Linked DNA regions of Oreochromis niloticus. The protein of the gene in region 2 interacts with the protein of the main gene of each other region in a pairwise test. Links are inferred from orthologs where the notes say so. Each region holds a gene or a part of one and is shown on either strand. Other genes may lie near its edges.

Evidence for each region.
Region 1: the proteins of rint1 (region 2) and ribc1 interact in binary tests that used the Homo sapiens proteins (3 or more experiments, as listed by UniProt). The two-hybrid records come from large-scale screens. The link is inferred for Oreochromis niloticus from reciprocal best matches to the Homo sapiens genes RINT1 and RIBC1.

What each region holds. Positions count from the first base shown.
Region 1 is NC_031984.2:20,063,296-20,067,051, reverse strand, and holds the start of ribc1 (RIB43A-like with coiled-coils protein 1), read right to left. Parts: upstream 2,786-3,756; 5' UTR 2,592-2,785; intron 2,352-2,591; 5' UTR 2,330-2,351; coding exon 2,131-2,329; intron 1,969-2,130; coding exon 1,751-1,968; intron 1,627-1,750; coding exon 1,512-1,626; intron 1,226-1,511; coding exon 1,107-1,225; intron 515-1,106; coding exon 278-514; intron 1-277. Other genes in the region: structural maintenance of chromosomes protein 1A, read left to right, coding at 3,189-3,297.
Region 2 is NC_031981.2:450,552-454,307, reverse strand, and holds the start of rint1 (RAD50-interacting protein 1), read right to left. Parts: upstream 2,886-3,756; 5' UTR 2,659-2,885; coding exon 2,437-2,658; intron 1-2,436. UniProt on the Homo sapiens protein: Involved in regulation of membrane traffic between the Golgi and the endoplasmic reticulum (ER); the function is proposed to depend on its association in the NRZ complex which is believed to play a role in SNARE assembly at the ER.

The sequences.
Region 1 (3,756 bases), on a different chromosome or scaffold from region 2:
GTCAAAAACTCTTTCCCTTCATCCCAAAATGGTCGCGGCAGATGGCTGCCTGCCCCTGAGCCTGGTTCTGTCTAAGGTTCAACAAGAGTTTTTCTGTCCCACAGTGCCAAAGCACAAGTACTTGCCCCGCCCAATTCCCCCGCTGGCCACCTCTGAAGTCGCATTAACAAAACACACAAGTACTCAAGGGATTGTGTGCACATGGTATTCTACATACCATATGTGGGATACTGTGTGCAGCTTTGACTATATTACTGTGGAGTACAGAGTGTAATACCTGTCTCTCAAGGCATTGTTGTTCTCTCTCCTGCTGAATGCTTTTCAGCTGTTCAGGGCTCATTCCTTTCCACCTGTCTGGTAGAACCTGTGGTGGCCTCCCTCCTCCCACCTGTCTCTCTGTTGCCTCTGCACACTCTGTCATCATGTCAGATGTCATTGTATGCCACATCTCTGCCAGATTTTCCTGTTCCTCTCTCTTGTGTTGCTCCTTCAGTTTCTCTGCTTGCTCTTTAGCCTGTGTGTACAGAGCATGGTGAGGCTTTAACACAGATCCAGGGACAGTTAATTGATTATCCCACTGATGACTGATGATTCAGAAGCATTGCAAAACCCAGTCTCTAAAATGTGGTTACTCCTAGCATAGAGCTACCAGTCAGCCATATGGCGAACGTCGTCCTGAGAGAGCCACTCAGTCAGCTGTATTTGCTTGTGCATCATGAGTGGTTATTAGTGAAACCACTAAACACTATGAAAAAGTACAGTGACCTGAAGAATTTACAATGATGCCTCCCAATGGGGGATTCAGCCGAGTGCATTCAGGCAAATGAGGGAAGAGCTAAATGGGGGCTTTTAAAAACAGACAGTAACCACGCATACATCAAAGCTGTTTAACCATCCATGTTGCCTGGTGCCAAATAATATGATTGCCGCCATCCTGCACCAAGTGTGTGCATGCATCATTTGACATTTTCAGCTTGCAATTCCCACATGACAACATCATGTCACAGCTTGCCCCCCCCCCTTAGATTTTTGCCTTGAGGATTCACATTAGTGAGTGGTGTGTGCATATCTGTTTGTCCATCTGTGAGTGTGCACATATACTGTACCAGAGCCTGATTGTAGTTGTCGAGCGCGATGCGGGTAGCTCTCTTACACACCTCCTCGAGGGCAGCTTGCTGAGCCCCTCTCACATCTTGTTGCACCAGCTCTTTGCTCACAAGCATCTCTGTGACACACATGATTTGGGGATCATCTGATGTGTGTTTTTCACACCTGCATTAGCGGTTGTATGTGGCTCTTCAACTGCACACTTCACACTTACAGTAAGGCTCTTAGGGATGAGCATCCATCACTGTCACCTGGTAATAAGGGCTGTGCATGGGAGTGTATGATTGTTTGTGCAGGAAAGCATGAAGCATGTGTGTGATGTACAGAGGTTGTAGAGTAAAGGATGTAAGCTCATTAGGAATGCTAGTGAATGTGTGTACTTGTGTGTGTGTGTCTCTTTTCACCTATGTGCTTGTCTCGCATGTGCCTTTTTTCATTCTCATCCATCTGTGCTCGCAGATCTCGTTCTGTCTTTCTTATTTGTTCTCTCATCCTCAGCTCCTCTCCGACACCCTCTCCCTGTGCATGAAACAAGGACAGATGACCATAAGCGGTAACAATATTACATATTTAACCATTAGCTGGAGCCCCCCCCCCGGTCTTTAAAGCATACAAATCACCTGCTTTGTCAGAGCTGCCCTACCTTAAAGATTTGCATACTGGCAGGCCCTAGCTCATCCTCTGGAATGGCGATCTTGAATGCCCCCTTCAGGTCAAATTTAAGATCAGCATCACGAGAGTCCTCTGCTCGCTGATGAGTAGCCCAGTAATTGGTGAGTTCAGAATTCAAAACTCTTCGCTTCTCCTTTTCAGCATTGTTCTGCTGCACCAGTACTTCATCTTGGCATATTCTCAACTTATCTGTAATACATTAAAAATACACCTGTGACCAACCAAAGCTCATTAATGGAGAGGGCCTGAAACAATAAGGGGACCAGGGGACTTGCATTTATAGCGTCTTGCAGGAATTATGTCTGCAATTATACTGCTTTAATTCTACCTCATCCCTGTCCTTCAGTTTACCCAAAGCTTTGTCCCTTTGTTTCTCCATGTTTTGCTGGTGTTTCTTCTCCTGGACTTGTTGGTTTAGTGTATCTAGGTCGAGACCCATCACACGAAGCCGGGTGTTGAAAATGCGGGCCTTGCGTGCTGTTTCTGCAGCCTTACGCCTCTCCACAGCCTTTTCCGTGGACTCGTCTACAGGCAAATCCACTTTGTACATGTTCAAAGTTTGTAGTGACTTCCTAAAGAGACAGCATTACGACACTTATTATCAGAGCTGATAATCTTGCCTGAAAATAAATTATTAAAGAAATGACTATGCCGATTGAAATATAAAATCCTGGTGGGGTTCATCTTCAGAGCGATTTGCTCCTGTCATCACCTGATAACATCAAAAACCAATGCTTCTTTAAAGGCATATTTAAAGAATAAGTGGACTAAATTAAATGGCTTTTCCTTAAAAATGGACATACACCACTTACCGCTGACGTTATAAATCTGCTCAGTTTCTTTCAGTCAATATCAGTGAATGAAAATCTGCTCCTGTTGTGTTTGGAGACGCTTGGTAACCATGGAAACATGTGGACACACATCGATATGCTGGAAATACATAACGAGAGTGACAGGACCAGCTAAGGAAATGTCTTTTTATTTTTTTAATAATGTGTATAATTTGTAATAAAGTAGCATTAATAGTAGTAAAAAGTGATATCCAAGGCCGAGATAACAATCAAAACACGACAAACGCCAGACAACTAAATTTGGTCTCGCGAGAAACTGTGAGGTTTCGTGTCTCGCGCGCTTGTGGGTCTTCCTGTTGGATTGTAAAATGGCGCATTGTTGTCGCCGCCGTACCGAATATATTTGATAAAGATTATAATTTTTATTTTAATTTTTAAAACGATTGCGCAGATCATAATGTAACTTGTGCATAGAGCAGCAGTAGATTGACCAGAGGGGTTCATTCATTTCGTGCACACTGCGTCTTTGCAACAGCTTACCGGGTAAACATTGGTTGTTAGCATTAGCTAACTGCTAAGCTAATATTCACTGCAGACCAGCTAAACAAATAGAACGAGATGGGTTATTTAAAACTGATAGAGATCGAAAATTTCAAGTCGTATAAAGGAAGGCAGATTATCGGACCTTTTCACAAGTTTACTGCAATCATCGGACCCAATGGATCTGGTATGTAATGACAGCTAACATAAGCTCGAAGCTAATGCGAAATGCAAACTGCTAGCTGTGCCTAACGGTAAACAGAGCTCCACAGCCCCGCTCTATTTGGATCATAACTCTCAGTCTGTGCACAGCTGAACTGGACAGAGGTTCAACTGTTGGTGATGTGATGTATCGTAGTGTTTCATGTTTACATTTGGCACTATAGAATTTATTTAAACTTTATTTCGGTGTATTTATGGTTGTCAGTTTGTAGAATGTCGTTTTTGCATTTTTATTGAAGTCACTCCATTAGACCGTTTAAGCACTTATGTCGTATAGGCACGTAATATATTTGTAAACATTGGTGTTGGACCCATTACACAAGAGAAAGACTTTCAACGGTCTTTTCTCGTAATACAGTGCAATGCATCATCAAAACTATCTGGCCTGTAAGTTTAGCCATATCAACTCAAACAAAACAACGTG
Region 2 (3,756 bases):
AAGTAACATATACTATATCAATATAAACGATATTGTCACATCTTATATCTGGTATAAAAATATATCGATATATTTTAAAAACTCGATATATCGCCCAGCACTAGTTTCACCCCAAGTCCAGCATCCTGAGGCTGCACACTAAGCACAAGGAAGGAGGCCGGGGACTGGTGAGTGTCAGCACCACACAGGATGAGACGTCAAACCAGTGCAGGTGGTGGGAGACAGAAGGACTCTGGGCAAAATAACATCTCTGATGGACAGTCTCCCACCCCATGCATGTAAATGTTGCTGAACTGCAGAGCCTGCATCCTCGATGCATGAAGGAGCGTTTCCGCAGGTCCTTCCTCCCTGCAGCTGTCAGACTGTACAATCAAAACTGCTCCCAACAAACACAGATGTTTACATCAGCGCTGTCACTTGCACTATTTTATCATCCGATTCACACTACAACCTGGGTTTGCCTCTTATCTGAAATACATTTTATCTGTAAATAAAATGTATTTCATTTTATTTAATGTTAATAACTGTACAGTACTCTGTTTTTGTAACTATTGTCCTTGATGTAAAAATACATATATATATACATATATATATATATATATATATATATATATATATATATATATATATATATACACATGTATATATATATATATATATATATATATATATATATATATATATATATATACACATGTATATATATATATATATATATATATATATATATATATATATATATATATATATATATATATATAAAAAATTGTGTATGTTTCTGTTCTGTGCGCTGTTTGTTTGTATATTTTTTCTTGCTGCTGTTACAACCAAATTTCCCCTTGTGGGACAATTAAAGGATTATTTTATTCTATTCTAAACATCCACGAGTACATGAGGAAGAGGCCACAACCAACCGCGATCATCCGTTACAAAAGCAGATACAAACAGAGACAGAGCTCTATAAGCTCTCTTGAAGAGAATCCTGGATGTAACGCTAAACTTGGCATCAACAAATGTACCTTTCATTGGTACAACAAAAGACCTGCATGATGCACAAAACTGTTATTTCTTTGGAAAAGTACAGCTCTTGTCCCATTATGATCCACTGCTGTAAGAATAAATAATAACAACAAAGATGATTTTAGGTAGTGCCCGAAAGCACAGACACACTGTATGTTAGGCTGTCTGAAACAGTGATGTGCTCCTGGTGACTTATTTTCACTGCTGATTAAATGGAGTCAGTAACTTAGTAATAACTCACTAACCAGTTTCTGTCTGCTAAGATGAGACGATGAGCTCAGGGTAAATGAATAAAACAAAAACGTGTTTCTAGCGTCCAAAACAACAACAACAACTGTTCCTGTAATCACCATTAAAACCTTTACTGGGAAGAAGTTGGTGTGAATCCTTCAAACCACCGCATTAACAAACTCCAACATGAGGAAAAACAACGTTTTTAGCGATATTTAGAGATATTTCTGAGGAGAAAATGAAGCTGCTCTCCAGGTGTGTTCAAAGCCACCAGACAACAGGGGGTTTAACCCAACAAGCAGGAGTTTGTCATTCAAGTCTTTTTTGACAACACAGACTGGAAAGCGGAGAGAAAGAGCCGGAATAGACTCAACACAATCAAAACACTGACTTCTGGCAGTGGCTCATACCAGCGCCTCCCACTGGCTGCCTGGAGGAGTACAGTTTGATTTAAAGCTATATAAACTCTAAACTGAGCTCAAAACAAGGTACAGTATATACAATCACAGTCAAAAAATTTATTCCTAAAGAGATTTCTACCATAAATCTAATTTAACTATAAATAAGTGCATAAACTTCACAATAACGCACAAACGTGTTTCTCTGACACTCAAAACCTTTTGGCGAGGACACAGAAATGTGTGAAAATACAGTGTTATAGACGTCTTACATTTTTAGTTTACTGAGTAAAAAGGAGATATATAGAAACATGCACCGTCATACTGTTCCCACGCCAGTGTCCACATAACTGCACCACTACTAATCTCATATCACCTGTAAGTTATGTTGCCTGGCGCTGGGCCTGTGCACGTTTTCACTGAGCTGTGATTAGGAGACAGATGCTGGCTGGCAGCCCACAGTTCATTCAGTGGGCTGTGAGGTCACTGTGCAAATGTCCTGTTTATAAAGCTGCAGTCAGCTGAGACTGAAGAAGTCACCTGGATGATGACGAAACGTTTCTCCCACTGAAAACGTTCAGATGGACACAATCAGCCTTTTGGGAGCAATTACAGGGTTTGTTTGTTTTTAACTGTGAGACTGGGTTGCCAAATTTCCGAAACAATTCACGGCCGTAAGGGTAACACCTGTCACGATGTTACTGACACAGCGAGCAGGACAACATCTCACGCGTGTCTTCGCTGTGTCTCGGTATATGTGATGATTTCTGTGCGTTGTTTCGTTCACCTGTTCCTTCAGCGTGTTGTTCTGCTCGGTCAGATGCTCCATCAGCTCACCGACGGTCTTCGAGCACATCAGCTCGGTGTCTCTGTCCTCCAGGAAACCCGCCACGAAGTCCTCCGCAGATAAAGCTTCGCGGTGTGGTGCTGCCGTGTAAGCAGGCTGTGGGGAACATGCTGTTATTTCACTCTCTGCTCGCTCTGGCGTTCCTGTTACGGCCGCCGCCATTTTTCCTGTCGAATGCAACGATCGCCTTCCTCGGAGGCGCTCGTGAATTGTATTTGGGTAACCCGCGGGAGGAGGTCACGCGTGCAGCGGTCACGCGTGGTTACACACATGCCAGACTTTCATATTAAATCTTCCTTTATAGATTGTCTCACATAAAGTGTGACCACGCGTGTCTTGCTATCTTGTAAACTGTAGCCATTGCTGCTGTATGGCCCGTGTTTATTTCACTAACACGAGGAGTACGCTGGAGGAGAAAACAAGCCCACAGTTGTCTGAAAACGCTTACGTCACAGATGGCACCGTCCGCTACACGTCAGCACATTCATTCATGGTACCGGGTCCAGCACAGCTGATTCTAGTATCGATACCAAGTAAATACAGGGCCGATACCAATACTATTGAGCTACAGAGGTACCTTAAGTAGGGGAGCGCGTGTCATGATTTATGACATGACTCATCACAGGTGTGCAAATTCTGAACACAACTTAATGGCCACTAAATCACTGAGATTCTACAATAATGAATAACACAATGAAAACACACCTTTCAGCCTTTTGTATTTGGACGACTGAGCTGTAAATGTGTCTGTCTCCAACACACAGCTCAGGCTGTTTAAACGTGCTGTTGGCTATAAACAAGACACAAGATTCAGACATTTTTCATACTGGATGTTTGAGGTATATTTATTTAATTCACAAAAAAAATATAATTCAGTGAATTTAGACGATAGAAACAAAGTATCTATCACACTACTATCGATCCAATACCAATTCCAGTGTTGTTGTCGATACTATTAATAATTGGATCAATGTGCCTGCCTCTAATTCATGGATAAAGATGTATAGTGCTATTTACCTAAGTACCTGAGCGCACAGTTAAACTGTAGCATAATTTCTGAGTGTGTGTAACCACACTTGCAAGTTTCCATGCATTAGTTAACTATAACTGGATATATGGTCGAATGTTATGTCGTCTGTCTGTCAAACTGATCTTCAGAATCAGAATCAGAATACTTTATTGATCCCTAGTGGAAATTATTTCATCTCGATCTTTGTGACCATTCTGTAGAACAGATGTACTCTCTCTCCCTTTCACTTC